Linked DNA regions of Struthio camelus. The protein of the gene in region 3 interacts with the protein of the main gene of each other region in a pairwise test. Links are inferred from orthologs where the notes say so. Each region holds a gene or a part of one and is shown on either strand. Other genes may lie near its edges.

Region 1 (7,098 bases), on a different chromosome or scaffold from region 3:
GGGCCGTTGGCTGCGTGGGGGACGGGGTGCAAGCTCCTGTCCGGGCAAAGGCCTGGTAGGAAACCGAGAGCAGAGGGAAGGGGGCCCTGGGCTGCTCTTCTCCCTCGCTGGATGCTGTCGGCTCCCACCAAAGGCCTGGAGCACCCTGTCTGGTCCTGGCAGGGGGGGTTTAGCATGGCCAAGGGTTTGAAGAGTCAGACCTAGACTGAGCCTGCCCAACGGAGCTGTGTGTGACCAGAAATAAGACCCATAGCACATCCAGGGCACAGTCAAGCTCTTTAATGGCAGCTCCAGGCAGGTTCCCGTGCTCTCTCTGAGCATCAGGCTCAGCTGGGTGCCCCAGGCCGCGAGACGATCGCAGCTCTGGCTGGGGCTGGGGCCGACCCGGCCACGCGTCCTCCCCCAGGAAGCTCACAGGGTGCGTGACACCACGTGTGCTGCCTCGATGACGTTGTGCACGGGCCCCCCGGCGCGGGGCAAGGCCCTGGGGCTGCAGCTCCTGTGCTGGAGGGTGAGGAGTGGGTTGGGCTTGCTGAGCACCTCCTCACTCACGGAGATCCCCTCCAGGTACTGCTTGAGCAGCTCCCGCAGGCGCTGGTTCCTGTGGCTCAGAGCTGCCTTCTCCTGCACCAGCGCCAGCTCCTCCAGCTTTGCCTTGTTGAACCGCTGCCAGAAGCGCTCCAGCCCCACGTAGTCCTGCATGGCCTGCGCAGGAGGGAGGGATGAGGAGGCCGGAGGGCCCAAACCCACCCCTGCACACAGGCACGTGCGCACGAGCCAGGCCAGCACTGGCTGTCCCCAAGGCTCTCCCCTGTCCCTCCCTCCCACATGGCAGTGCCTAGCCAGCTTGGGACCCCAGCGCTGCGTCCTCACCTGGGCCAGAGGCTCTGCAGGTGTCTCCTTGAGGACTTGCTCCGCGTCCTGCTGCTCCCCCTCAGCCAGCGAGGAAGGGTAGAACGGCAGCACCTTCTCCTCCTCCGTCTCCAGCTTACGGCACATCTCACCCAGTCGCAGGACGCGCTCTGCCTGCAGGGGACACCGGAGAGGGCAGGTAGGGAGGGGACGGGTGGGTGGCCCGGGATAGCCCGGTCCTGCCCCAGGGCAGGCAGCACGCAGCCTGCAGGCCTCACCTTCTCCACGACGTGCATCAGCACCTTCAGGGCAGCGCTGCTCTGTGTGGTGAGCTTGACCAGGCTGCTGCGGGCCTTGGCCCTGGCCTGGTTCATCTCCTTCTTGAGCTCCTGGAGCTGCCTGAGGATGACCTCCTTCTCCTCCCGCACGCACCGGTTCTGCTCCTCGCTCTCCTGGAGGTGAGCCGCGATCCTGCCCTTTATGGCCGCGATGGAGTCCTGGGGGCACATGAAGCGTTAGCGACAGGATGGGGGGTCTCGGGGCTGCGCCTGTGCCATGAGTTTCTGCAGCCACAACCTGGAGTTTCTGCAGCTTCTTCGTCTGCATCTCTATCTCCTTGGAGCTCTTCTTGTCCTTCTGCTTGAGCACTTCAAAGGCAATCTTCCGGTCCTCTGTGGCCTCTGTGTAGCTGTGCAGGACCTGCTGGAACTGCTTCCAGAGGGCCTCCACCTTGTTGCTCAGGTGCAAGCGGCTGTACTGCTTCTCTTCCAGTTGCTGGGGGGGGAGACATTGGAGGGGGTGTCCCACCAGCCCTTCCCCTCCTCCCCAGGCTGTGACCACCATGCTCCAAGCGAAGCAGGTCCCTCTTGCCTCCACTGCGGCTGAGGCTCCACCAGCCCTCACTGTGCTCTGCTCATGCCCCGAAACCTAAAGTGCTCCTCACCAGAGTCAGCTGCTAAAGAGTGTGCTAAAGAGCCTGGCCAGTTCCTCATCGAGACCTGCCCTGTCCCCCACCCTTGCCTTGTTCTTGATGTCATCCCAGGCGCTCTGGAAATTCAGCGTGGCCTCGTAGTTGTTCTCAACGAAGTTCTGCTCCACGGCCAGCATCACGTCCTGTAGGTAGCAGCATTCTTGCTTGTGCTGCTCCAGGATTGCTCTCCTGGGGGAAATGTCGGGGAGCTGCGGAGCACAGGGCCAGGGCAGGCCAGGGGGTCCCCTCTCCAGCGTTACGAAAGGGCTCCCCACCAGGGACACAGCGTCCCGGCAGGACAGCCAGCGGGTGCCACCACTGCACCCAGATCCCTCTCTCCCTCTCCTCGATACCTCTCCGTCTCAAACTCCTCCTTGAGAGCCTCCAGCTCCGTGTTATAATCCTCCTCCAGGTAGCGCAGGCGGCAGCGCTGGAGCTGCAGCAGGCGGTCAATGTTGTGCAGGTGGCTGGAGAGGGCCTGGGCGTGCTGCGCCTCTGCCTCAAACAGGTCTCTGGCCAGGGACTGCAGGAGGGAGGGAGGGAGGGTCAGGCAGGGGGCTCTGCGCAGCCCTGCCCTCCCACCCCGGCAGCCCCGCGCTCACTTTGATGACGCTGTCCTTGCAGTCCATCACCCGCGCGAAGGTCTGGCTCAGGATCTCGACATCTGTGCGCAGCTCCTTGGCCTTGGTCACCCGCAGCACTGCGAGCCACTGCGTGTTGATCTTGTCGAGGTTCAAGGCGCTGCTGTGCTCCTCCTTGGCCAGCTTGTCCTGTGTGGGGGGCCGTGGGGTCAAGGGGCAGTGGGGACGTGTCCCACGGGGGACAGAGCCGGCCGGCACGCAGGGAAACGCATCACAGGCCCCCAGGCACCTTCAGGAACTGGTTGAGCATCTCCCCCTTCTTCTTGGCCTCCTCCTCCTCGGCCAGGGCTTGGCGCTGCAGCAGCAGGAGCCGGTTCTCCTCCGTCGTGCGGGCGGCCGCAGCCCGCCGGCGCCGCTTCTTCGGCATGGCGGCGGGGCTGTGGGGCAAAGTGTGTGTGGGGGCAACCGGGGTCCCGGTCACCTCCACACCAGGGTGCCCCCAGGCCCCCTCCCTCTGCTCCCAGCCCCCCATCCCCTTCCCTGTGGGGTGCCCCCCATCTCCCACAGTGCTCCCTCTTGGGTGTCCCCCCTGCCCCACTCACCCCTCCCCCATCAGGTGTCCCCCCCTCTTTCTTTGGGGTGTCCCCTTTCTTCCATGGGGTGTCCCCCCCCGGGGTGTCCCCTCTGCCCCACTCACCCCCTCCCCCATGGAGTGTCCTCCCTCCGTCTTTGGGTGTCCCCTCTCCTCCATGAGGTGTCTCCCCCCGGGGGTGTCCCCCCTGCCCCACTCACCCCTTCCCCCATGGGGTGGTCCCCCCCCTCCTTCGGGGTGTCCCCCTTCCCCGGGGGTGTCCCCCCTGCCCCACTCACCCCCTCCCCCATGAGGTGTCCCCCCCCGGGGTGTCCCCCCTGCCCCACTCACCCCTTCCCCCATGGGGTGTCTCCCCCCCCTCCTTCGGGGTGTCCCCCCTCCCCGGGGGTGCCCCCCTGCCCCACTCACCCCCTCCCCCATGAGGTGTCCCCCCCCGGGGTGTCCCCCCTGCCCCACTCACCCCTTCCCCCATGGGGTGTCTCCCCCCCCCTCCTTCGGGGTGTCCCCCCTCCCCGGGGGTGCCCCCCTGCCCCCCTCCCCGGGGGTGTCCCCCCGCTCCCCTGCCCCATCTCCCGCCCCCCGATTCCCCCCCCGGTACCTCTCACGTCTCCCCCCCCCCCCAACCCCGGGCCAAGCAGCACCCGGCCCGGCGGCTCGCGTCCCACCGGTCACCTAGCAACGGCCACTTCCGGCTCGGGGCGGAAGCGAGCGGGCCGCACTTCCGGCCGCCGAGAGGCCCCCCCGCAGGCAGAGAGGCGCCCCCTGGCCCGGAGGGCTCCCGCCGCTGCCCGGAAACCGGCCCCGCCGCCGCCCCGAAACCGTCCCGCCGCTGCTGCCCCTGCTCCCGCAGCCCCGTCCCGGCCTGTCCGGCCCCGTCCTGCCCCGAAACCGGCCCCGCTCCGCCGCTACCTGCCCCAGGTGCGCCCCCTCCCCGGGCAGCGACGGCGAGGGAGGCGGGGCGGCCCCCCCCTCGCCCCTTCGCCATTGGCCGCGGCGCCGAGCGCCCCCGCCGCGATTGGTGGGCGGGCGCCGCCGTGGGCGGGGCGTGGCGGCGGCGGCGCTATATAAGGGCGCTGCGGCGCGGGCGCGCAGGGCTGGCGGGTGGGCGCCGGGCGGGGGAGGGTTGCGCTCGGGCCGCCGCCATGAGGGAGCGGAGGCCGCCGCCGCCCGCCCCGGCCCGCTGCAAGCTGGTGCTGGTGGGCGACGTGCAGTGCGGCAAGACGGCCATGCTCCAGGTGCTGGCCAAGGACTGCTATCCCGAGGTGAGGCGCGCCGCGGCCGCCGCCGGTAGCGGGGCTCGGGCCGGCGGCGGCACCGGGCGCTGACGCTGTCGGTGCCGTTGCAGACGTACGTGCCCACCGTGTTTGAGAACTACACGGCGTGCCTGGCCAGCGAGGAGCAGCGCGTGGAGCTGAGCCTCTGGGACACCTCCGGTACCGGGGGGAGCATGCATGGGGAATGAGGGGGGATGCCCCTCCGGTACCGGGGGGAGCATGCATGGGGAATGAGGGGGGATGCCCCTCCGGTACCGGGGGGAGCATGCATGGGGAATGAGGGGGGATGCCCCTCCGGTACCGGGGGGAGCATGCATGGGGAATGAGGGGGGATGCCCCTCCGGTACCGGGGGGAGCATGCATGGGGAATGAGGGGGGATGCCCCTCCGGTACCGGGGGGAGCATGCATGGGGAATGAGGGGGGATGCCCCTCCGGTACCGGGGGGAGCATGCATGGGGAATGAGGGGGGATGCCCCTCCGGTACCGGGGGGAGCATGCATGGGGAATGAGGGGGGATGCCCCTCCGGTACCGGGGGGAGCATGCATGGGGAATGAGGGGGGATGCCCCTCCGGTACCGGGGTGGGGGGGTTGCACCTCCGGTACTGGGAAGGAATGCATGGGAAAGGGGGGTGCCTGTCTGGTACTGGGGGAAGTGGGGACATTCCCGGGGAGGAGTTGGGGGGGAGAATGCCCTTCCGGTACCGAGAGGTGGGGGCATGCAGCGGGGGGGGTGCGGCATGCTCTGGGGGAGCTGCGCGCTCAGTATTGCGGGAGGCTGGTATCGGGGACCTGTGGGGGAGCATGGTGGAGCCCTGCAATGGGGCACTGCAGTGGTGGGGGGGGTGTGATGCCTGGGCTATGGGGGGGCTGCAGCACGGGGGGAGCCTGCAGTGGGGCACGGTGGGGGGCTCTGACCTGGTTTGAGGGGGCTGCAGTGGGGGTGCATAGCCGGGGCTGGCTCAGGGTGGGGGCCTGGATCCTTGAGGCTGGGGAGTGGGGGGGGCCTGGTCCCCTGGGTGCAGGAGGGGACAGGGCTCTGTGGGGTGGGGGTGATGCATTGGGGGCAGGTATGGGCTCAGCACCCCTTTTTTGGGCAGGAGCCCAGCACCAGTGCAAGCCCCTCTGTGTTCCTAGCCCCCCTTAGGGCTGCATGGGGGCCTCTGCAAATGGAGGAGTCCTGCCATTGCCCCATCCTGGGGGGGGGGGGGGGGGGGGCTGGGGCAGCCTTGCCCCGCTGCTGCAGTGTCCCCCCCATCGGCAGGGGGTCCCCGCCACCTGCGGTCCCCATGTTGCCATGGCGATGTGCTGGCGCAGCCTCTTTGCTATTCCGCGCACGGAGCGTCTGGGCTGCAAAACCCCTCGGAGGACACGCTGGGGTCGGGGGGGGCAGCATGGAGGGGGTGCCCTGCCTCACCCCCATGCCTGCAGGGGGGGCTCCCTCGCAGTGTCCCTCTGCGGTGCTGGTGATGGGGCATGCCCCATGGGGGTGGCCTGGTGCCCTGCCACCCCCTCACCGGGTGCCCCGGCTGGTCCCTGACACCCCTGTTGCTGGCAGGGCTCCCTTCTTGTGGGGGAGGGTTTGCGGTTATATAAACTCCCCAGGAACCATTTCCTGCTGCCTCATTAGTGAAGATGGGTGTGTTAACGAGGCAAGGCAGTGTTTTAGGGTGCTCTGGAGCTGCTCCCCCTCCTTTGCAAGCTCCCTGCTGCCTGGGGGGCAGCAGCCCCTCGGCCATTGCGGGGTGCAGCGTGGTGACTCCCCCCCCTTCTCCCAGGCTCTCCCTACTATGACAACGTGCGTCCCCTCTGCTACAGCGATTCGGATGCCGTGCTGCTCTGCTTCGACATCAGCCGCCCTGAGACCCTGGACAGCGCATCCAAGAAGGTGAGGGGTGCTCAGCCCCATCCCTCCGTGCACGGTCGTGGGGACCATTTTCCCAGGAAAGCCCCTGCATTGGGATCGGGTTTGGGGACCCCAGGGTGCCCAGCTGACTGTGGGTTTGTGTGTGCAGTGGAAGACGGAGATCCTGGACTACTGCCCCAACACCCGGGTGCTGCTCATCGGCTGCAAGACGGACCTGCGGACGGACCTGAGCACCCTCATGGAGCTCTCCCATCAGAAGCAGGCGCCCATCTCCTACGAGCAGGTGCTGGGGATGGGCTGGGACCCAAAATCAGGGTGCTGAGGGGGCCAGTTTGGGGGCAGCAAGTCAGTTACTGCCTCAGTCTGACGTGGCTTTGGGTCACAGGGCTGCGCTGCGGCCAAGCAGCTGGGAGCAGAGAGCTACCTGGAGTGCTCGGCCTTCACGTCGGAGAAGAGCGTGCACAGCATCTTCCGGACCGTGTCCGGCATCTGCCTCAGCAGACCCAGCCCGCAGCTGCCCAAGAGCCCCGCGCGCAGCCTCTCCAAGCGGCTCCTGCACCTGCCCAGCCGCTCCGAGCTCATCTCCTCCGCCTTCAAGAAGGAGAAGGCAAAAAGCTGCTCCGTCATGTGAAGGGGGGAGACCAGGACAGCATGGCCCTGGCCCCCCGAGGCCCCCGCACCGGGGCAGTGGGGGCTGCGGCGTGGTGCCCCGCGGGGAGGATGCCGGCGGCCCCCCACATCACACCGCTTCCCCCCAGACAGCGCGCACGTCCTGGCCCCTGGGGCTGGGGGGCAGCCCCTGCTGTGATGCCATGGGGTGGGGGGACCTGGGGGACCCCCGGCGCAGAGGGGACCTTGCTCAGTGGCTGCTCCTGAGCCCCCGGAGCTGGCAGGACTCATCCACGGACTCATCCTTTTTCTTTGAATGCCCAGTTGGTGTCTGGCTCTGCCCCATCCCTCATC
Region 2 (7,394 bases), on a different chromosome or scaffold from region 3:
ATACTGCTTTTATTTCATTTGAAACTTCAGAATTATAACTCTTGGTCTCCTAATACCATTTGGGCCTACTAAATGCCATCAAAGTTTTTTTTTCTTTTTTGCACTGTACATAGTTACTAACTTTGTAACGGACATAGGAAATACCTGCTTTTAAGATGTGTAACTCACTTTTCTGTGGATGATCTTAGTTTAACTGAACACAAATATTCCTCTTGTCCTGGTGCATGATCAGTAGAAAATACTACGCATGAAAATAGATTATTTTTAGAATCAGAATATGGGAGCACTGTAATTCACTTCCGGTCACCTCCACCTTAAAGAACTACATACATGTTCTCATTTTGACTTCTAAAGCTAGGATTTCACGACTTCTGCTATCCAATGCAACAGAGAGAATGAAGTGACAAGCTGCTGAGAATCAGAAACGGTAACTCCCTAGCTTATAATTTAGCACTGAAAATTTTTGTTGAGATATGTTGTCAGTCTTCAGGCAATCGCGTCAATAAATTGATGGCATTTTCTCCTACCACAACTGTGGTAGGAGAACCTTAACTATTTTTATTTATAACACTGATCTTTTCCATAGCAACAGGATATGAACACGGCATTCCCAGCGTAATGAAGTCACTATAGCAACACGATAATGATGTCAGAATAATCAGAAAGTTTTTCCTACTTCAGCCATGGTGAACTACACTACTTCTCAAAATTAAAAACGTTGCAGATATCACAAAGGCAAGGGTGCTCCACGCCAAACTTCCCTCTAAATTACCTCACTTCTGCTAGCTTCTTACGAAAGGTTCAGACCTTGAGTAGCAATGCGGCATTTTCAACTTCACGAGGGCTCGACTCATTACTGCCTAGAGGTTTCAGGAATTCCACATTAAATAGCTTTCGGTGAGAATTAACGACATACCGTTTCATTAAGAAAGAACAACAACTCCTCATCAAAACCGTGAAGAGCTTCGCAGTAAGGACTGCGACTCTCAGTTAACAGCGTGTTTCCTCGGTTTAACCGTTCAAAGGATGCGGTGCCCCTTTTCGCTTTGCATGCTACTGCTACGCACGCCAAACCAAAAAAAAGCAACCGCAACAGAAAAGGCGTCGGGGTATCATAACCCTCCGCAGGCGACGGGCCTCTGCAAATGGAAAAAGCAACTATTCCAGGAAATATCGTCTCCCTTAGCGAGTTATTGGGGGGGGGGGGGGGACACAGAGTTTTCATGATTTGTCCTTTTTGTGGGCAGCTCTTTCCAAGTTGTGACCAAAGCAAACCCCCCCCCCCAAAGTCCCTTCCTCAGCTCTGTCAGCCAGCACCAACTTCTGGCCGCCTCCAAAATCCCAACCCGCCGGCTGACAAGGCGGCAGAGCAGCCTTCCAACCCAAAACACCGCTCCGGCAGTTAAAATAACGCCAGCAAAGACGGTGTCTACACAGAAAAACATCCCCTGGACAGAAAAACAGAAACAAGAAGCCGTTTCCGAGCTGGAAGCGGTCTGGGAGGCCGCGACGACCTGCTCCTCGCCGCTGCCGGCGGCCCGTGTCCCAAAAGCCCCTTGCCAAAACTTAAACCGCGGTGCCCCCCCCCCAAAACGGGCCCTTCCGGACCTGCCTCCGCCCCGGCTTTGCCTCACGCGTGGGGACGGCGAGGGCCGAGCAGCGAGAAGGCTCCCGAAACGCAGCGCGGAGCCCGGCCGCGGCGGCCTCGCCCCGAGCGCCGCTCTCGGGCTTCCCTCACGCCGCCCTCGGCGTCCCCTCGGCTCCCCGGGGGGGGGGGGGGGGGGGGCACAGCGGACTGGGCGCAAAACACCGCGGTTTGGGCTGCTTCCCGAGCGGAGCGGCCGCCGGGGCGACTCCCCGGCCAGGCCGCCTCTCACTGCCCCCGCGGCGACGCCCGCCGCCCCGCGCCCCCCCCCCCCCGCCGCCGCCGCCCCGCCACAAGATGGATGTCAGCCCGGCCCGGCCCGCCGTGACAGCCCGGCGCCGGCCCTGCCGCCAGCCGCAGCCCCCGCTGCCGCCCCGCTCACCCGGGCCGCTCCGCTCCGCCTCGGCGCTCGGGGCTGCTGCGCGCGGCGGGGGCAGCGCGCCCGCTCCGCCCTCAGCGGCAGCGGCCTAGCGAGGAGCCGGCGGGGCCCGGGCGGGGCGGGGCCGCCCGTGACGGGGCGCCGCCATGACACCGCCCCCCGCCCCCCCCCCCCCCCCCCGCAGCAGCGGCGGCCGGAGCCGCGCTGAGGTAACGCGGCGGCGGCGGCCGGAGCTGCCGCGCGGCTCGGCGGGCTGGCGGCGCTCCCGGTAGGCGGCCGAGGCCGGTAACGCGGCCGGGAGCGTTTCTTGCCCTTCATCGGGGCACAGCGGCGCGTCCCGTCCGCACGGGGAGGGAGCCGGGCCGCTGGTGCCTGGCGGGAGACCCCCCCCCCCCCCCGGGACGGAGCTTCCCCCCTTTTCGTCGTGTTTTCAGTCGCCAAAACGCACCTTGAGACGCGGCATTTATTAGCTACGTACTTATTTTTAAAAAACAAACTGATAAATAAAGCCTTAACAACCCCATAGGATCAAAGTAAAAATATACCTAACAGGAGACCTGCAGCCGAGGAGAACCGAAGACGAAGGGAGGAAAGAGGAAACCGCGCGTCTCCGCGTTGTCCTTGTGTCACTCCGCGTTTGGGGGCGACGGCAGCCGTTGGTGCAGCGTCGGGGCCGACCGAGCGGCGTCTCCTCGCCTGCGATCGGGGGGACTCCTGCCCTGGCTCTAGCGTGAACAACCCGGCTGTCAACCACCTAGTCAAGAAAAGCCAACATCAGCACTTAAATTTCTACAAAACAGAAGTTTGTGCTAATTAAAAAAAAAGAAAAAAAAATCATGTAAACGCGCCATAAGAGCTGCGGTCGTTTCCGTGATTTGAACGCATGGTGCTCGGTGAGTATGGCTTAAAACGCAGAGGGATACTCCATCCGTCCGCAAGCACGGCGTCTGCCCACTGCGTAACCCGGGGACACAACGAGGGCTGCAGCCACCGCCTCCGGACGAGCTCAAGGTTAGGCGGGGGACAAAGGACTCCGAGCTGTTGCGAGAGGTAACGGCAAAGCTCCTGCAGCAGCTGCAAGAGGCTAAAACAGGAGAATTTGCTGTGCTCCTTCCCAAAGACTCTCTTCATTACGTTGCTCTTGTTCAGACTTGCTGGCAGCTTGAGTATAAAACATTTTTTGCATTCACATTGCCTTTCATCCAAAGGGGAAAAAGCTAAGTATTATTTGTATTAATAAGAAATATTATTTCCTTCACAGATGGGGAAACAGAGACAGATTAAATGACTTATCCAAAACGCCTAGCAAGTCAGTGGCCAAGAGATGAGTACAACTAAGAATCCCAGCTCTCATCCTCTACTCTAATCAGAGAAAATAGCACTCCCGCTGTGCTTGTGAGTGCAGGAGAGATCTACAGTGCAGAAGAATTTTGCTTCCAGGTATAAATCATGGATGCTGATATTGATCTGTAAATCCCAGTTCTTTATGGCTCAGGTCCTAGCAGGGTATTTCTTTCCCTGGGGACCACCATGCTGGAAGAAAGCAAGTAAATCACTATTTCTTAATTTGTATAGCTGGAGGCAGGTTAGTCTCAGTGGAGGGATTTCCACATTTGCTTTCTCCATTAGGTTTGGCAGAACTCAGACTTGTCAACCTCAGTAGCATTGTTCAAAATCCCTCCTTTTGCAGGGAGGCATTTTATGTGGATGGATCACATGCCTTTAAGGATACCTAAAGCTGATTGCTGAACATCTTTGGTTGCTTCAGAATTGCAGTTTTATTGTTGACTCTAAACTTAGGCAGCAAATGACTGGCTGTATATTGTTAAAATTAAGAGGCTGTATCCAGAAAACATGCAAAGACAAAAAAAATCAGTAGTAACTGATTCAAAAAAAAATCAGTTTTGAAACTGTAAGTCAATAGTTGTGAAAGCTGCAAGTCAATAAAAATTCACTCCTGTGGATAGGAGTTGCATGAGAAGATCCTGCTTACATCCTTAAGGGGCTTAATATACTTGAAGGTATATAAGCATTCTGCCAGGCTTTATCAGAAGAGTACATTTTGCTTGCAGGTTTCCTTTAAAACTAAAGGTTTAATAAAACTTTGTCTCAAATATCAATGCATCTACAGCATCCAGACACACTCAGCGCCTGATTCAGCAAAATAAAGGACCTACTTAATGCCTGTTCTAGGACAGTTGATTCCCCCCGCCCCTCCTCCAGTTTTCTACAGATTTAGATGCAAGCTGAAAACATTTATCACTTAATCAGACTTTGCACGTACATGAAATTAGATCTGGATGAATGTGAACCTTGGCTATGAAGTAATGCATTAAAAAGGAAGGCAAAGGATGAAGAAAGATCCAAGTTCAACTGCAGTCAGTGGGAATTTTCCTACCAGTTTCTGCAGGGAATAGATCTGGATCTTCATTTCTTATAGCCCTGCATGCCACCTTTTTCCATTAACAGAACAGATACGGCTCCCATAGACAGACTTATATAGACGGGGCCTAATTCTATATGCTATGAATTCATGTATAGTTAGTGCTATGAATGTGCCTGATTCACAGTGCTATGTTACTGCACTTCTCCTGTGTAATGGTGCTTGCTCTTTAGCAAAGAAATTGAAACTGTCAACTCAGTGTTATTAAGTCTTGCATCTACACTTTCCACACCTTGCCTCTCCTTCAGTGTGTTTTCTAAACAAGAAAAAATACTATCATTTCAGGAGATATCACTGACCACCAGGTCTGGTAACTGGCCACCTCTTGCCAAGTGTCAGGAATAGCTTAAACTAGACTTGAACTAGTGAAACAGAAAGGAGATTCTCCAGGATCTGTATGTTTCTACATTACTACTGATGTCATCGCTTACGTCTGCTTAAAGTGGGTAAGAAGTGCTAACATCCCAAAACAGTGGATTTCTACTCCACACAGCCTCAGCAACACCACAAGGAAAAAAAGCAAAGAATTAAGCCCTCTATATCCTGTCATCTACAGGGTACAACTCTTTATATATTGAGCACAAAAAGATCCTTAACATTGCAGTTTTATAAAAAAATTGCAAATTATCTTGACCTTTCTACTCTTTTAAAAAAAATGTTGATGCATAACATATCTTTTCTGAAGTCCCTGCTCTAAATCCATTGATATCATTAAATTATACCAGTGCTTCACTTTTTGTGTTATGTGGCCGCAGTGAAAGACTGGGTAGAAAACATGGTTATTCCCAGCAACTGCAATAGGATTGACATTCTTTGCCTGGATGTGCTGCTGAGTTCTAGGGGTTATACCGAGGTTCATATAGACAGATGAAAATGAGTCATAATCCCTCAGGACACTTTTTTCCAAAATAACAATTGCCCAATTGGATAAATTATCACAAGTTCAGCTGATGCAAATAGCTAGCTAATACCCATTTGCTCATTTAATGAAATCCAGAAACAATGTGCAATCTCATAATGAGCCTGGATTCCTAGCTGATAGAATCACAAGACTAGAGAACAGAAGTCAGCTCAGTAAAACACATCAACAGTACGTTTAAATGCAAGTGTATTTGACACTGTGCAGACTCATAATACATTGCTGTTATTAAATGCAAAGGTGCTGACTTCATAAGGATCATGTTCTGATTGACTGAACTTTGTAAACCGCACAAAACAGGAATTTGTCCTTTCCAAACACTGTGTGATAATGAAGAAAGGATAGTCATGAAAGAATCAGAAAAATATTCATTACAAAAGCTCAACATGAGCTTTTGAAGTGGAAACATAATATTTTCTTTACAGTTTAGATTACAATGTATCATCAGGAATAATGACAATTGTAATATTAACAGTGCATGCCAACAACTACTGGCACTGTAACGACAGTAATTTCTTTCACTGATAACGTGGATACAGGGGTCACTGAGCATGCGCTTTGTCTCACGTCACCAGGCCGTGCAACATCATGATGCAATGCTCTAGAGGATGCAGCGTCCCTGCCAGGGTTCAGACCACGAAGGACAGCTTAAAACATACCAGCGTTCGACAAATTCTGTGGAGGCAGGTGAGCTCCAAAGCTGTGAGCCTATTATCAGAGCAGATAGGCAGGACCAAACAGGCTCCTCTGCTGAAAAAAAATCATTCATCCTCAGGTTGCCGCAAACCCATTTTTTCTGTGCCTGCTGTCAGGCTGGGTGAAGCTACTGGATAATTATCCAGATACGCTGGAAGGTGTGGAAATTGGGGAGGGAAGGCTGGACCCAAGGCAATGCTCTGTTTAAGGTCTAACTGGCTTCCTAAGGTAAGACCTGGGCTAGCTCTGGAGGTCAGAGTTAGAGCCCAGAAGAGCAAGCACTTCTCTCTGCCACTGTCTTCTCCTGACTCAGCTGATATCATTGAAGTTTCCTGAAAACACAGGAAAGGCTAAATCCCAAGTGGTTGCTGCAGATGCTGAAGTACTTCCAGGTTTCAGCCTCAACAAAGACTGTCTTCACCTATGAGCACAGAGATTACAGAACAGATGAGGAGGCAGGAATGGGATTCCCTTTATCAGAAGTACAAAAGATCCTGGGCCTTCTTCCTCTGTGACTTTTACTGATCTCTCTGAAAGGGAGATAGAGACTTCTTAGGCAGCTTCCTGAATGCTGTCCTAAATTGAAAGCACACCAGAAGTGTCTGGTGTCTGTCTGGTGTTTGTGATAGCACAGAGTAGGGAGAAAGGTAGAGACTGATACTTGTTTCTGTTTCAGTGGTTTTTATAAATATCATAAAAGCCTGAACCTTGCTGGGGAAGGAAGCATTTAAAAAAAAAAAACCACACACACACAATTCCTGCTTCTCAGGTATGTCAGGCAACTGCTTATTATCATACATAGGAGTTCCCATTCTTTAGGCTAATGGCAACATAGCAGGCTGATTTTTCTACAGGCAATTCAAGAATTTACTTGTGCAAAAGTGTAACAGCCTGGCATTTGCTATGAGATCAGGCAGCTGGCAAGGAATTGTCCCCAAGTGAGTTAAAATGAGCCGAGAAGTTAACTTGTGTACCTCTCTCTCACTTTTTAATCACAGGTATTGGTTGCAGAGCTATATTTGAGAGTCTTTCAAGCAATGTTATCCATGCATCTCCCCACTGCACAGCCAGTCTATTCATGGCAGAGATTTTCTTCCAAGCAGTGTGCTATATTTATTTTTTGGTGGGAGAGAGAATTTTTTTCAGAAACTGGGATCACAAAATAGAAGACTCAGTGAACTTGCTTCCCTTGCGCCAGGAACCGTTTGTGAAACATACGGGAGATGTTACCTGTTCTGGGAGGATCTAACCAGCAGTAAATGGTGTTGGAGGTGTCCAACTATGCAGAAAGACAGTACTGAATTGGGCCTCC
Region 3 (7,957 bases):
TTTCAGAAATGAAAAACATGAGTGGGGAGCACAAACTCACTTGCTGTTTTCTAGAGGTTTTTCTTGAATTGTATTGGTGCAAGCTAGTTAAGTTAACACAGCTTTGGCTCTCTACAGAGTACATTTCCCACCTTCTAAGGAGCCCTGATCCCTCTATTAGCTGGCTAGTGCCTCCTTTTAACCAATGAAACCAGTGATTCATCATTATTTAACTGCAGGAAGTCTTAAACCAAGATCTGAGGACAAGTGCACAGAAAACCTCAGAACAAAGTGTTTTAAAGGGCAATTAAAGCTGCCAACTTGCCTTGCAAATAAGGCAATAAATGAGCATTTTTACTTAAGCAGTTAAAGATCTACTGACCTAATAAAAATAGGCTGGAGACTCAACTTGACAGAACTTTTGGATTTGACAACTGAATGCTACAAGAAGCAGCCCAAAACTTTGGGGACTGTTCTAGGAACTGATAGGCAAGACTTCCATTGGCTAGTTTTTTTTTGTGTGTATATGGCAGAGGCAGGGTAGAAGCTGTGGAAGGAGAACTCTCATTGTTTGCAAAGCAATATAAGGTTCAAGGAAGCTGTTCATGGTTTCTGATATAGCTAACCCTTACTACAGCTCTTGGGAGGATGGACAGAGCTTAACAGGTTATTGTACTAGATTCACTTCCTAGACAGAAATAATGGCAAGAGAATTGGAGGAAGCACTGGGAGACAGGAGGATGTCATACAGGCAACTTCAGGGATTTTTCAGAAGTAGGAAACCCTTTGACATGTATGAAAAGCTCTGCCTACAAATGCTGCAGAGTGTATGAGCTACAGCTATGGGCTTATACTGACGACAAATATTAGTTTCACAACTCCATCACAATTCTCACCTGAATGCTGTCTCTTTGTGCTTAAGTTCAGCATATCAATTTGTTTTTAGGAGACTTCTGAATGAGTACAGTAGGATAGGCTGTATAGCCTCAAATAGAAATTCGCACACAACTTTACTCTGAACTAATAAATGTCTATACAGCAACTAACTCTGAGGTCCAGTTCTGATGAGGCTTTTCTGTACAGAAGCCAGTACAATAGCTGATACTTGGAATTTTAAGATTTAGAACTGAAAACTGGATATGCTTACTCATGTCTTGGAAGGTTAGGCTTAGCACCTTAACTATACTATGAAACTTGGGGAGCTTTTTAGCTCTTGGCTTGTTCAGGGTTTTCTTATTGTTCTGGCAGAAACATTACTGGAAGAACATAACCAGAACTGTGGTCCCTCAAGAGCTGGATGTGAATGGGCTGTTGCAGCCCATGGTCAGATATTTCTAATCTACACCATGGATACTTTAAGAAAGCAAAGCACATATGCTTTCCAAATGCTGGCAAACTGGGTTAAATAGAACAGTTGCCTACAATGTCCTTATACTAGTGAACACAGCACAATAAACAGTTTTCTGCTACTTTATATTTGAACAAAGCTATAAAGGCAACCCACAAATTACCAAGGGAGTTAAAACAAAAAAAAAGCCATTGAAAAGTAACTCTTCAATGCCAGGTTTTGACTGTTATGGGGAAACACTTTCAGTGCTATTCCTCTATGAAAAAGGATGTTAAACATACATTTAATGGTACACAGTAATTGTAAAGATAAAATGGCAGAATGAAACCTGAAGAATATGTTGAAAAGATAAGCGTGGGCCAAATAACATTCTAGTCTTTAGTTTGACAGAGTAACTGTCTCATCTTCTGGAAACAAGCATAGTCAAACCTCCTGCATTTGAGACTGCAGACCAATTGTGCATTAAATACTTGCAGAAATGAAAACTCACCCAATATTCCAGAGGAGGATGCTTTAAGTTACCATGTGAACTGACAGTGCCTATAGTCAACCAACTAGTTTGCGTTCACATAACACAAGGCTACCTGTAGATATTAATGGTTTTTTTCCCCCCAAGTATAAGCACTGCTGCTCAGAAGAGTGCCTTCAAAACGGGAAATTCATGAACGTGCTGTAAGTTTTGTTAACAAATGCAGTCTTCAAGAAATGACAAGCTATAAAAGTTGCTGACTAGTGGCTTTTCATCTTTTAAACTTACAAATTGAACAGACAGCGTGCTAACTGGTGCCCTAAAAATTCTTAGGACAAGTATAATATCCTCATTGGCCTGCAAACTTCAAATACTTCTAGTTTTCATCTTTTCAGGAAATAGCAAAATCTGAGAAAAGGGAGTAAATGTTCCTGGTTTGAATTTGAGGACACTAGCCACAACATGTTTCTGCACTAGTGTCATAGAGGAAGGAAAGAATATCTGTGTACTGAAGCCAGAGAGTGGATCAGGGCTACGAACTAATTTCCACAGCAGTGTGTCTCAATCAGTTGGAAAGTTTGTATTCAGCCTCTTCTGGGGAACCAGAACTACAAACTGAACTTGCTTGAGGCAAACTTTAACAACTCAATGTGAGCTGAATTTCCAGGTGAAGTGCTTGTTCTGTGTTAAAGTAAGCAAGCAATTCAGAGATCTACTTCCTCAATGATACCACCTACCCTATCAATTGATCTAACTACACAAGGCATCTAGTATGTCCATACCCTCGGTACCACTGTGCTAGTTTCTTGTGCTAAAGCAAGCACAGCTTCAGGTGCCAAGTTTGCAGGGTTTGCTTAAGTTGGAGTTAACTCCTCCTTCCTGGGACAGGAGGAGGAAGTTTAAGTACTCCAAAGATAAATGTACAGCTTTTCAGGATGTGTTCATCTCTTCTGTTCTATTAAGGAAATTAAAATAGCAGATATAGCAGTAGACTGGGCAGAAAAATATTACATTTATTTAAAATGTAATGTTCTTTAGAACATATACTCACCCATAGAAAAGGAAATAGAAGTCTGAGCTGATGGCTGTCTTACAGTGAGCACGGTCAGATCTGGGCATGAGTAGTTTCCTGTGTGGACGGTGCAGCGTCTCAAGGCTTTTTCTCTTACAAATGAGGAATGTCTGTCCAGCCGCATTTACTTCTGGTTTACTAAATACACACTGAGACTGTTTTTTGACTGTTTTTACTTATGCAAAGTTCCAATTATAAATTTTTTTTGAGAAAAAGCTTTCTTGCTCCTTGGACTTAAAGGTTTTATGCTGTCTGGACTATATGGCAGACAGTAAGCTGAGCTATCATAATACTCTAGCATGTTCTCAGAGAGGCATGGTCAAGTCTTTTACTGCCTAAAAATGTCCTGTCATTTGGTTGTCACAGGTAATACTATCGATTTCAGTGACCATGTAAGGGAAGAGTGAACTTGAGGTTCTTCAACCTGGAAGTGCAGAGTACTTCTACTAAATGTTTTTGCCTACACTATAGCTGCTTGAGATAACGGAAGTTTACCTTCTGTTACACACCTCTCAAGGTGAAAAAAACATTCTGTATTTAAGCCAACAAACTACTAAATGAGTTATTTCATCCAAAGCTGGACAAATGTCCTCATAAATTTTTCTCTCCAGTGAAGACCATATACAAATGCACATGAAAAGTAGTTAAAAGTTTGTTCCCTAAGGTTAACTTTCCAAACACTTTTCGTTTCTACCAACATGTTAGCCTGGTCTTGTCAGAAGCTTATGCTTTTGCTAATTGCCTGTACATAAGGCTGTTCAACTATTTTTGACTAGGTATTACAACTTCATGAATAAAAAGAATTGTCAACATTGTTACTTTAGAAGCAAAGCAACCAGCTGCACTACTAAAAGGTTGGGGGAGGGGACAGTGATTCAAAAGTTGAGAAGCATCTGCTTATAGTTCAATAGTAGCTATTTGGCTAAATCCAACCTAGAGCATCTCGGATCCTGCTACAGATGGCATACAGATCGCAAACATATTACTGACAAAAAGCTGTTCAGAAATAACAGTATTAGATCAAGAGGGAACTTCTATCCTTTTTCAGTATTTAAAAAAAAAAAAGTGATTTCACCCTGTGTCTTAAGGTCAAGCTGGGAAGCTTGCATCTGTCTTCTAAACTTAGAACCTGCTATAATAAAATGAAGTTACTTCATTTTATAAGTAGGGCATATTTCTCCCACTCTTGGTTTGCATATGGGCCTTTGGATTGAGCCTTCCTGTACTGAAATTGTGGGTTGGAAGGGTGTGTACAGGGTCTCATTTTTCTTCCTAGCTCAGATCTGTCTCATTTGCTCAGGATTGTATCTGTATTCACATAATACACTCAGATGTAAAACAGAGAAGCTTTTTGAGAGCTACAGTGCTAAAGCTGCAGAATGAATTGCACAGAAAGGCATTAGCACCTATAATATGTTAGCATCAGCAACAAAAGACACCTTACAACCAACAAAACACGTGCCAGTACCTCACAGCAAGAAAAGGACCGAGACACTTTGCTGCTGCTGCTGCACTTGGAGAGCAGATATTTCCTTCGGCGCAGAGGTGCCTAAGCAGCTGCGGCTCTCGAGGGGCGCGCCAGGAGGACGGCCGAAGGGGAGGGAGCGGATCCTCCCGGGACGGAGCGCGCCGGGCTCCCGGCTCCTCACCTGCCCTCTGCGAGCTCGGGGGGCTCCCGCTGCTCCGGCGCCGCCCGTCAGCAGCCGCCCGGTGGACAGCTCCGGCCTCCTGACCGGGATCCCCCCGCCAGACCGGTCCCGAAGAGGGGGGGGGAGCCCAGCCAGGACCCCGCGGTGGGGCTGAGGGTGCCCCCAGCCCTCCCCATTGGGCGTAGCCTGCTCCCGGGAGGAGGGGACCCCCCCGCCCTTCCCCGCTCCCGGGGGGGGGGGGGGCCGCGAGGGAGGGGAGGACGACACTGGGAACAGCCTAGCCGGCGGGGGGGGGAGGTGGTGGCGGTCTCCATGACAACCGCTCGCCCCCGCCCTCGGAGACGGCGATCCCCGCACTGGCCACCCTCCCTCCCCCCCCCCCCCCCAATCCCGGCCGGGGCAGATTGGGCCCGCCCGCCCGCCCCGCGGCCCCCGTCGGGCGGATACAGCTTGAAGCCCCTGAGGATCTCCTTGGCCCGCTCGTCCGTGGCCGACATGGTCCTGCCGCGCCGCGCCGCGGGCGGACGGGGCTGCGCCGGGCTCGCCTGGCTCCGCGGGCCTGGGCGGGAAGGCGGCGGTGACAGCGGCGCCTCAGGACCCCCCCCACCCCTCCCCCCCCGCACTCCCTCGCACCCGCCACTGGCCAGCGCAACCAACCCCAGCGGCCTGGCGCCGCCCCACCCCCCCGGCTCCCAGCCGCCGCCAATGAGCAGGGAGCGGCGCGCCGGCGCCCCGCCTACTGGAGGGGAAGGACGGCGCGGATGACCAATCAGACGGCGTGCCCGCTTTGCCTCCGCCTCTCCGCCCCGCCTCCCACCATTCAAGGGCGGCTGCGCAGCGGTCGTTAAGGCGTACGCCCCTGCCAAGCCTGACGTCGCCGGGGGACGGGAGTCGCCGCAGGACAAACCTTTTCCAGCCGGCTCCGCTCCGCAGCTGCTAGCGGCGGCCGCCGGGGGGCGCCAAACGGCGGCGGCGGCGGGCGGGGCGCCCTCTGGCGGCGGCGGGCCGCGCCCCTGCCGGCGGGGCCGGCCCGTGTCCCGGGCTCGCAGGCGGGGCTCAGGGGCCTGCTCGCCCAGCGGCGCCCCGCTCCGTCGCGCCGGCGGAGGGGCAGGAGGGGCATGCGCTGGGGGCAGGCCGCAGCGGGCGGTGAGGCGGGCGGGGGCGTCTGCCCTTCGCCCAAAGAGGGATGGTGGGCTCGAAGGCGAGAGCAACCGTCCCAGGGCTGGAAAATCCCTGTGGGAACGCGGGTCCGGCTGCTAGGGAAGCCGTGACCTGTCCCATAGCTAAGGACAAAGCAGCAGGGAGTGGGGCTGGAAGGGATGGGGCTCAACACTAACAGAAAGCCGTCTCTGATTTTGTTGAACGTCCGGTTAGGCTGCAGAGGCTGCTGTGTGTTTGAAAACTCAGGGACTGAGCGTTCCTCAGTCCGTAGGCTTTTTGAGGAAGAGTGAGGTCCAGACAAAGAGCTTTGGAAGAGAGAGAAGTTGTCCTGCTTGAGAAGAAACTCGATCCAAGTATACCCCTTTCACCTAGGGGCTGCCAGGGCCTCAGCTTGGAGAACACTGTGTCCTGTTTCTGTTTCTGTACTGGAAGAGGCCTCAGCCTCGTGTTTTGGCAGAGGGTCGCACACCTGCACAGCCATTCGTGTTAGCGTTCACGCGATGCGGCTCCTCACAGTTCGGGCCTTGCCTGGGAGACGTACGCTGGCAATAGTGCAAATACTGCTGGGACTACGCCCGAGCTAATCGAGCTCTGTTAGCGTTTCTCTTCGTAAGACGGGTAGATCTTGCAGCAAGTTCGTCCCTCAAATTGTTTGACAGAAGTTAAATTGAGCTCAAGTGAAGGATTAAGTTTGTAGTTTTGCAGGCTTCACTGTTCGCATTATGTTGCTGTTCTCGCTGCCTCTGTTCTTATATGCAGAGTAACTACTCTTCTGCATGTACCAAGGCTGGAGCTAAAAGGACCAGCATTATGGGGAAAGTTTGAAATGAATAGTTATGTTTCTCTGGAACAAAAGTGGCCTTCTTTGTACTACAGAAATTTGGCCTTTGTGTAATAAAGTAGATTCTAGGGGAAAGTCTCTGGCTAATCAGCGCATCCTAGGAGCCAGGCTATTCTTTAATATGAGCACGACAAATTAACTCCTCCGTTAACAGTCCAAGCACAGCTAATACAAAGCATTAATAAGCCCTGAGGAAAATAAACGCAGCAGTTGTAATCTGGTCCTCCTCAAAGTACCTCAGAACAGTACCAGCTAATAATCACTGTGCCATCAATATTTTCATGGCTCTGCTTGCCTCAAAATCAGCCACTGTACAAATGAGGAGAACATGAACATTCATAAAGGTCACAATTAATGCATTAAAGACAAGGCCACTTCCAGTATAACCAGTAAGTGATCTTAATAATAAAAATAGGTAGCATTTATTTCCCTGATGTATGTGATCCGTGTTCAGTTCCACACCATCAGTTTAAAAGTGTATGAACAGATCATTTTGAATCTGGGCAGCAAGCCAGGGGCACACTATGCTAATATATATCTATCTTTTATTAAGAGTCCTTCCTGGCTTTGAGATAACGTGCAATTACACGCCCTATCTAAGGAATGGGGAATAAAGCTCACTGAGGAGACAAGACTGGTAGGCATAAAAGGTGAGCAAGGAAAAAAGCAGAGGTGAAGAAGGCAAAAAGCAAATGGTCGGGTATACGTGAAGAGTCTGTCAGGTGGAAGTAGGACCTGCTGGATTATGGAAGACATAAGGAGCTCAATCCCGCCTCTGTTCAGGCTGCAGAGAGAGGAAAGAGCCACCCAAAAAATGGATGTCACAGCTAGGAGCTCCTGCAGCATTAAAGGTTTCTCTGGCTGTGTAGGGCTTACGTTGAGTTGTCGTGAGATCTCTGTTATATGTAATTAGTAGGGGAGCCTCGAGGGGAGATGAGCACAGGGGCAGGAGACTTTCCAGAATTTAGAGTTGGGGCCTTTGAGTTTTCTGATCAAATCCCAGAGTTCTCAAATTCACCTTGAGGTGAGTCTCTGAGGTGAGGTAGAGGCAGTCTCTGCATCTCTCACATTTGAGCTCCCAAAAGTCACAAAAGAGGTAATGGCTGAAGTGTTGATGTCTTGTGACTGCTCCGGGTATGAGCAACAGTGAAACATGTGACACGATAACTCAGGCAGTGACAGAAACCCTGGGATCTCCCTCCTCTCAACATCCTTTGGCTGCATTAACACAAATAACACCCTTTAGCACATCAGCTTTCTGATCCACTTGCAAGACAGTTGTTCCAAGTCTCAGCATCCCTTTGTACCAACTTTGTGCTGAAAACTTCACCTTTTTTCCTATCTCTGGAGCACGTGGAGTTGGCAGGTGTCACAGTTTCTGAGCTGTCATTGCAGACAAGAAGATGCCTCCAGCCTGCTTTCTGCTTCCCCAGAGGAC
Region 4 (7,626 bases), on a different chromosome or scaffold from region 3:
GTTTAAAACTGGTTCTTACTTGAACCTGTAAAATTTACCCATGTACACCAAACTGGGATGATGAACCCTTAGTAGGGGCTTGTATCTTAAAGATCTCCCTAGGAGTAACTTTCATGGTGAGCAGGCTCAAGGGAAAAAAAAACATTAGGTCATTTAAACAGTCAAGCTATTCCTAATATGTGCTATATAGTACTTGTGCTTCTAGCTGTTCTAAGCATTTCTCCAGTCACTCCAGAGTTTGACAGTCCTCTCTGATTCCTAATCAGCTTCCTTTTGTCTACAGGCAAGCCCCGTTGCTTCCCGAATGCTCACGGCAATTAAAAAACATATCCCTGCCCAGGATCCATATGGGCCGAGGGAGCTGCCAGAAGACCCCTGCGCCTGCTTGGGGCGAAGAGGTAGCACGGCCGGGGCCCCTCCCAATGCCCTTGTGCAGCAGGCAGGGTGGAGGCAGCCTCAGCGCGCCGCAGAGCCCCGGCGGCAAACCTCCCTCAGCAGCAAGGGAGGTGCTGACGGCTCCGCAGAGCTCCCACACGGGGCCTGGCTGGGTGGCACCTACCTGCACCTGCGTGCTGCGCCTCACCCCCACCCTGAGCTGGGTGATGCCTTGTGCTGGTGTGTGTCGGGGATGACAAGCGCTGCTGAGGCTGGCGAGTTGTGGGGGTTTTTTCTTTCCTTTTCTGGGGGGGGGGGGGGAAGACATCACAGAGGTGGAGGGATGCAGGGGCTGAGGAGAGCCACAGCGTGCAGGGAGTGTGGCTTTGGGGGGGGGATGCAGAGCAAGGCGGCTTGCCCCCCCCCCCCCCCCCCCCCCCCGCGGCCGCGCAGACAGCAGAGTCATGGCGCGGCCGGGCGAGCAGGTGGATCTGCGCCGCTCCTCCGTGTCCCCCGAGCCGCGGCGGGGCCCTCTTACCCCCTCCCCAAAAACCACAACGGGGGGGGGGCCAGCCCCACTGACGGGGGTGGGGGGACACGACAAACTTCCCGGCGTGCGCGCGACTGGGGGGGGGGGGCCGCCGCCCCGCTAACAGGTGGCCGCGCCCCACCCTCCTCTTTAACGGCCGCCGCCCCTCCCCCCTCCCAACGGCTGCGGCCCTCGCGCCCCCTCCCTTAACGGCTGCGCCCGTTCCCCCCCCCCCCCCAACCGGCGGCGGCGGGTCACTCACCGGCTCGCACGCCCCGCCAGGCGGGAGGCACCTCCTGGAAGGGGCGGGAGGGGGGGGAGGAGGAGGAGAGGCGGAAGTTTAAAGGAGAATAGTATGCTTTTTCTTGCAAAATAAAAAATAAAAACAAACAAACAAAAAAAAAACAAAAACCCCTCCTCTCAGGCTAAAAACCGCGCCGCCCCCCCCCCTTCCCCTCCCTCAGCCGCCGGGGGCTCCCGCCCCGCTCAGCCGTGCGTCGGCCCGGCGGCGAGGTGAAGTTTCCACCGCGGTGGTGGAGGCGCCCCCGGCGTGGCCGCGCCCGCCCCGCATTGGCACCGGGCGCCGGGGCGCTTTGCCGCCGCCGCCGCCGCCGCTACCGCCGCCCGGACAATGTGCGAGCCGGGGCGGGGGTTTGGGGAGGGGGGGGGGGCAGAGCGAGCAGCGGGAGCGGCCGCGGGAGCGCGCCCCGCCGGCCGCCCGCCCGCCCGCCGCACACGCCCAGGCTCAGGCGCCGCGCCTCGCCCCGCCCACACGGCCGCCTCTGATAGGCGGGCGCCCGCCGCCGCCGCCCTTCCCCGTGGGCTGAGCCGCCCGTCAATCACGCGCCGGGGCCCGCCCCCCTCCCCCGACCCCGCCCCTCGGTCTGGTGGGGCGGCGGCTGCTGCCGGGCCTCCCGGGGGCGTCGGTGTCGTCCCAAAAAAGGGCGGGGGGGGGGGTTAGGGGAGCTGCGAGGCCGGCGGCTCCCCCGTGGGTAGAGCTGGAGGGAGCTGCCTTTGCGCTGCTGTCCGGCAAACGGCTGGGGTGGGGGGGTTTTGGGGGGGGGGGCGGGTTGGGAAGGGTAAAGGGGGGTTTGTCGTGTCTGCGTTGTCCGGTGGGTGAAGCTGTAGGGGCTGAATCCCGCGGGATTCAGGCGGTTCTTGCCTGGCCTCACGGGAAACAGCCAGAAAAACAACCAACCAAACAAAAAAAAAATCCGAATTATCTGCAGGCGGTTTAAGCCAGCCCGCGAAAGCAAAGGCAGCTGGGGCGCGATGAGGCTCCGTAGCCGAAACAAGGCACCACCTGAACCCACTCATCCTGGTTGACAGGCAGACCTCGGCCCCCCGGGGCGAGCGGCCCTGTCGTCGGGGCCTCTCCGGGTCCCCCCCCCCCAACTCGGAGCAGGAGCTAAATCCGGGCTCGCAAAACCCTCCGCCGACCCGAGCTGCTTCTGCCGATTCAGGTACGCCGGGGCCCAGCGCGCCTCCGCTCTCGGGCGTTTTACTACCGCGAGGCACTGCGGTTACTCTAGAAAAGGGGATATTGGGTGGCGTAGACCCCCCCCCCCCCCCCCGGCCGGTCATCTAGGAGCGGGCGCGAGGGAGCTTTGAGGCAGGACAGCAGAGCGTGTCCCCCTGGTCGCGGGGAAAGGGGCGTTTGCTCTAACGTACCCTTCCAGCGCGCCACCACCCTATGGTATTTCCCTTAAAAAAACAACAACAACAACAACAACAAAAAAGGTAGCTGAGAACCTGAAAACGGGGTTAGAAACGGTTGATCTAGGCACCCCGGTTTGACACGGGTAGCGAAAAGGAAGCTGGCGCCCTGCAGAACTCGTAGCTGGAGCGCTGCGTAGATGAAGCAAGTTGCAAGGACGGACGGACGGACGGACGCCCGCCGAGGGTGGCGCGGGTTTCGTTCAAGGCGCGTCCGAAGCCACGGGCCGAGGCTTTTAACCTACCTCGGAAACGCTCGCTCGCTTCTAAAACGCTCTCCTGATCCTGAGCAACCCCTCGGCTCTCCGCAAAAGCAGGGACCGCGGCTGGCAGAAGCGCAGCATCTCTCCTGAGCGCGCCGACAGCGGGAGCAGCAGCAGCAAACACAAAGGTGATGGGTTTCTTCGCAGGCACACGCACGTACGCGCAGCGCACCGCCTCTCTGCACTACCTGTCTCGTCTTGTCTTATCCGTTTCTGGTGAGCAGGCAGGGTACTGGAGCATACAGAAATCCTGCTTTTTGAAGCACCCTGGAAGCGGGCTCAGTACGTTTTTTCAATGCCTAGGTGGCCCAGAAGAGCTGATCAGCGAGCAAAAAACAAATAGGTGGTAGGTAGCAGACACAGGTATGGGCAAACCTTAGTTTCCTGCTTCGCCCTGACCTACGAGTACCAAGAAAACAGAAGGTGGGACTGAAACTGCCTCTTGCTTGTTCTTTGGTGCCAGATCGTAGCAGGACATAAGATACCTGAGGACTGTTTTTTGTTTGCAGTCTGCTGCAAGACAGAGGCATAATCATCTATTGGTGAGTCATGACCACGCTATCACATAGGGATGATGACACAAACTTGTGAGGGCAGAGTAATATAGCTTAAAAATGTCTCTCTCGCTCTCTCTCTCTCTCTTTTTTTTTTTTAATAAAAAGCAAAACATTGGGATGAGATCCTCAGTTGTTGCAAAGCAGCATAGCTCCATTGCTTTCGGCAAAGCTGGGCTGATTCATGCTTGCTGAGGATATGGTCTGTTTCGTTTGCAAAAAGTCATCCTGCCTGGCCGGACCCTTCCTTTCTCCAAACTTGAATTTAACGCTAGTAAAACGTCCTGGCCTATGTGAGGCCTCTGGAAGGCAGAGCCCTCTTATTCAAGCACAGGACATGCAATGCCGCTGTAACAGCAGTACAAATGCCACCACCGCAAACCGCTGGTAACTCCTCCTGTGGTGTCTCCGACTGGACCATCACCAAACTCTTCCAGCGGCCAGTGCGGTTCGTTGCCCTATGGCAAACGTCAAAGCAGGCAAAGAGAAACATGCAGCTCTCGAGGAAACCCTGCCGTGACACTAACTGTTGCAAGCCTTGCTTGACGGGAGGAAGGGAAGGCTGGTCGTAAATTGGGTCTGCTGACACTTAGAGCAATGAAGAGGAAATGGGGAGAATCTCAGGGGGTCCTGACTTCCACGGTAAAAGTGCCAAAACGGAACTTGCTGTGGGGTTAGAGAGCTGCTGAGGCTTGCTCTGTCATCCTGATGCCTGCAGGTTTTCCTGACTGTCATCAGCCTGCAAACCGGAGCCCATAACTCACGGCCGTGCTTAGCCCATCTAATGTCAGTAGGGCTTTTTGTAACAGTACTCCAAATCGAGTCCTGGGAAGGTATGTCGCCGAGTCTTGCAAGCGCTCTGACCCCCAAAAATAGTTGCTTAGCGTTGCTATTCCCCTTTAACCTCGGCAAGAAGGGAGTCATAGACAACAGGTGAGCTCAGCTTTCCACCGTGTGATGCACAAACTTGTGCCAAGAGCTCATTTAGCACTGGATCTTCCTATTCGGCTGTAGATCAAGGCTATCCCAAAAGTTTTTTTAAAGGATAATCTTTTCTTAGAGTTATTTCTGGTAGAAACACCCTGGTGACAGCCAAGCTGAGCTATTTTGCCTATTCCGCCGTGCCGCCCCCCCACCCCCCCCCCGTGAATATTTCTTCTTGCTGCCATCAATATCACCAGCAAAGTAAATAACAGTAATTTTTTAAATATACAAGGGGTTTGAATACATCCAGATTTTCCTCTCAAGCCTGCCATTTTGCACCAAGAGAAACACTGGTGTAATTAACTCAGATAAGCTGAATTTATGCCAGCGTAAATGAGACCAGTCACGGTGACATAAGGATGTACGTTCCTGGCCAGCCTTGGGCTGCCATCTGTCTCTTCTCCCGGCCAGCCCTTCAGCGCTGCTGCCTGTCCTCTGGGCCGGTTCCACACACAATTTGTGATGCAGAACAAGCCCAATTTGTCATCTCTGCCTGCTCCGTTGGCCTCACCCCACCCCGAAGGGTCTATCAATTCTCAGCAGACACCCAGGGGAGGGTAGTGCTGTTAGTTGCCTTTTTTGTTGTTGTTGTTTTGGAGTGTCTGCTTGTGTCTTCTGTTCCTTTGAGGTATGGGCGATTACACCTAACTTTGTGTAATTTTGCAGACTGCTTCTTTCCATGGTTTTGAGTTCTCCCTACACTCAGCTAGTCCATTTTTGTGGATTTTTTGTTTCTTCTGTGTAACTGAAACTTTCTTGGAGTGTTTGGAAGGGAGACCGTATCTGTATGCTCTTCTAAATATTGTCTCTGGGAGCATATTGAGAGCAGCAGAGATTCTGGGGTGATCTTTGCTTTCCTGCCATACCAAACTCTTTATGATTTATTTGTTTATTTGTTTATTTATTTCTCCTGCAGAAACACCAGACTCGGTAATCCTGCAAGCACTTCTGCCATTCTGGCATGTTTCTCTTGCCCATCTCTGTCCAGAGCTTAGAGGGTCAGTAATATCATGGCAGAAAGCGAATGGATATGAGGTAAAGTTTGAAAGTTTTTTGAGTTTTGCAGAGAATGCAAATTGTTTCCTTTTTGTATGTAACAATGTAGCACCAGTAACTTGCCATGGCAACCAGCTTATGAAAGGGGGGAAAGAAAAAGATCATCGCAAGGTGCTTGGTTGCTATAGCAAGGAAAAAAGCTGAGACCTTATCCTTTTTGTTCACTGGTGGACTGTGCATCATCTAGGTAGCAGAACTTGTCAGAAGAAGTTTGTAGTGCAAGTTAGCAGCCTTGCCAGCCTCTCTGATACTTGGATCAAAACCGAAGTGCAGTCAGGAGGAAAGAAGGAAATAGTCAGAAGAATTGGAACAGGACTGGATTTTCAGAAATGCAAGGCCAAATCCATTTCCGCACTAAGCTGATGCAACTCTACAGATGCCAGTAAGGGATAAACCTGTTTCTACTGAAATGAATTTGGCTCACAGTCTCCAAAAGCCTCTGTTTTGGGTTCTTTTCACTTTTTTTTTTTCTAAAAGGGAAAGGTGTCTTCTGCAGATCTGGGAGCATTTTGGAGTTAGCTTGGGCAGAGGATGGAGTAGGCTCGAAGGCTCCTTCTTCAAACCCATCCTAAGGATGCTTCTGGGAAGGGCAGGCCCGTTGATGTACAACTTATTTATGGAGAGAGCTGAGACCTGACAAAGGGAACTGGTTAAGGACGGAGAGGGGAAACCTTAAGAGCTGTCACTGTGGGAGGAGATGAAAATGGAGTTTTAGCTGAGGGAGGATGATTTAGAAAACTGTTATGTATGTGAGTAGTCGGAGAAGCCAATGGACCTCTCCTGTGCTTAAGGTAGGCACGTTTGTAAATCTTGTGGGGGGATAGGAGCTACCTGAAGTGTTTGTTCTGTGCCTAAGCTGGATGGGTTGCTTTCTGGGGAATACCTTTGAAAAGTGAAAGAAAGAAATTAAAGTTTCTTAATCCCTAGGCTATTGATATGAGCTACAAGTAGCACTGCTCCAATTGGGTGATGGAATGAAGTGTATGCTCCTCCTCTTTATTTAAAAAACATTCCCTCCCAGTTCAAGTTTAGGCTGCTGGTAAAGTAGTAAGGTGGTCAAGCTTGCGAAACGGTAGCCAGCCCTCCGAGTAGCCTAGGGGCTTAGCTGAATTTACAGATAAAACTATTGAGACTAGTGGACAGTCCTTTTCCAACTTCCTGGTGAGGCTGTAGAGAAAATATTGCTAGATCACAAGACCCAGCAATAGCACTACTTGGAAAGCAGCCTTGGAGAGAGGATTTCAATGTAACTGATAAATCTATATGGAGATGCAGGGCTATAGTTTACTCCTGACAATGAATTGCTATACTGTAAATGACTGACTATAAAGACACTGTGGGGAAAATCTGAGTCTTCTGCAGCACACGGAAAGCCCTAGATAAAGGAAAGTCATTGATTTAAAAGAGAAAAATACAAGCAAGAACCATTTAACACTGTAATTTAACCCAGTCTGCTGGAGAGCCTTCCTAAAGTCTATGAGCTAATCCTTCCTGCAGATTGCACCAAAAAAGACATGGCCACAAGCGACATCACAAACGTGAAATTCTGCAAGCAGGGTCATCCCGCAGGGCGGGTTTCTCAGAGGTACCTCAGGCTTGGAAGCAGCGGTCCAATTGAGAGACCACATGGAAAGGAGGGGGGTGGGGGGGGAGGAAAAGTAAGACCAGTCCAGTATTTTAGGACATCATCAGCAAAAGACACTGAACGGAACTAGAGATATTTCCTGTACTAGTCAATTAACAGGATAAAACCCTGAATTAATTAACCCTGAATCATTTGACAAAACCTTCCTCATATCATCTCCATCAAAACGCCACGTTGCTGCAGATGACCCAACCAGAGCATAGAGCCACTTTGTTTCTAATCTCCAAAATACTGGCATTGAAATTGGATTAAATTCTACTAAATACAGTACTCAAAAGCCCCTTTAAACTAAACCAAATGAAAACATCCCAGAACATTCTGGGTAGGCATAGCAAAGTGACTGGTTTGGAGAGTTATCTGATCCCGGACGGGATCCCTCCTGTCATGTATTTCCTTTTTGACAGAAACAAAGAATTCGGGCAGCGCCTTGCCAGGTGCCTGACCCAAGCACCACTAGTGTTAGAAATAGGAAGGATTCCTATTGACTACAGTGGATTCTGCTAA

The links.
Region 1: the proteins of PDE6D (region 3) and RND1 interact in a two-hybrid assay, tested with the Homo sapiens proteins (2 studies listed by BioGRID). The link is inferred for Struthio camelus from reciprocal best matches to the Homo sapiens genes PDE6D and RND1.
Region 2: the proteins of PDE6D (region 3) and RAP1A interact in a two-hybrid assay, tested with the Homo sapiens proteins (2 studies listed by BioGRID). The link is inferred for Struthio camelus from reciprocal best matches to the Homo sapiens genes PDE6D and RAP1A.
Region 4: the proteins of PDE6D (region 3) and HRAS interact in a two-hybrid assay, tested with the Homo sapiens proteins (2 studies listed by BioGRID). The link is inferred for Struthio camelus from reciprocal best matches to the Homo sapiens genes PDE6D and HRAS.

What each region holds. Positions count from the first base shown.
Region 1 is NC_090969.1:1,008,271-1,015,368, forward strand, and holds the start of RND1 (rho-related GTP-binding protein Rho6), read left to right. Parts: upstream 1-4,091; 5' UTR 4,092-4,137; coding exon 4,138-4,257; intron 4,258-4,340; coding exon 4,341-4,428; intron 4,429-6,046; coding exon 6,047-6,156; intron 6,157-6,283; coding exon 6,284-6,418; intron 6,419-6,520; coding exon 6,521-6,766; 3' UTR 6,767-7,098. Other genes in the region: CCDC65 (dynein regulatory complex subunit 2), read right to left, coding at 412-705, 874-1,026, 1,131-1,349, 1,429-1,626, 1,873-2,011, 2,176-2,345, 2,425-2,592, 2,693-2,830. UniProt on the Homo sapiens protein: Lacks intrinsic GTPase activity. Has a low affinity for GDP, and constitutively binds GTP. Controls rearrangements of the actin cytoskeleton. Induces the Rac-dependent neuritic process formation in part by disruption of the cortical actin filaments.
Region 2 is NC_090965.1:8,961,112-8,968,505, reverse strand, and holds the start of RAP1A (ras-related protein Rap-1A), read right to left. Parts: upstream 3,008-7,394; 5' UTR 2,873-3,007; intron 2,779-2,872; 5' UTR 2,570-2,778; intron 2,161-2,569; exon of another isoform or gene 2,028-2,160; intron 1,893-2,027; exon of another isoform or gene 1,609-1,892; intron 1,135-1,608; exon of another isoform or gene 917-1,134; intron 856-916; exon of another isoform or gene 773-855; intron 1-772. UniProt on the Homo sapiens protein: Counteracts the mitogenic function of Ras, at least partly because it can interact with Ras GAPs and RAF in a competitive manner. Together with ITGB1BP1, regulates KRIT1 localization to microtubules and membranes.
Region 3 is NC_090950.1:21,896,459-21,904,415, forward strand, and holds the start of PDE6D (retinal rod rhodopsin-sensitive cGMP 3',5'-cyclic phosphodiesterase subunit delta), read right to left. Parts: upstream 3,007-7,957; 5' UTR 2,993-3,006; coding exon 2,848-2,992; intron 1-2,847. Other genes in the region: COPS7B (COP9 signalosome complex subunit 7b), read left to right, coding at 7,923-7,957. UniProt on the Homo sapiens protein: Promotes the release of prenylated target proteins from cellular membranes. Modulates the activity of prenylated or palmitoylated Ras family members by regulating their subcellular location.
Region 4 is NC_090946.1:15,871,041-15,878,666, forward strand, and holds the start of HRAS (GTPase HRas), read right to left. Parts: upstream 3,008-7,626; 5' UTR 2,866-3,007; intron 2,746-2,865; exon of another isoform or gene 2,657-2,745; intron 2,368-2,656; coding exon of another isoform or gene 2,234-2,367; exon of another isoform or gene 1,899-2,233; intron 1,677-1,898; exon of another isoform or gene 1,167-1,676; intron 682-1,166; exon of another isoform or gene 616-681; coding exon of another isoform or gene 305-615; exon of another isoform or gene 1-304. Other genes in the region: LRRC56 (leucine-rich repeat-containing protein 56), read left to right, coding at 305-615, 2,234-2,367, 5,338-5,456. UniProt on the Homo sapiens protein: Involved in the activation of Ras protein signal transduction. Ras proteins bind GDP/GTP and possess intrinsic GTPase activity.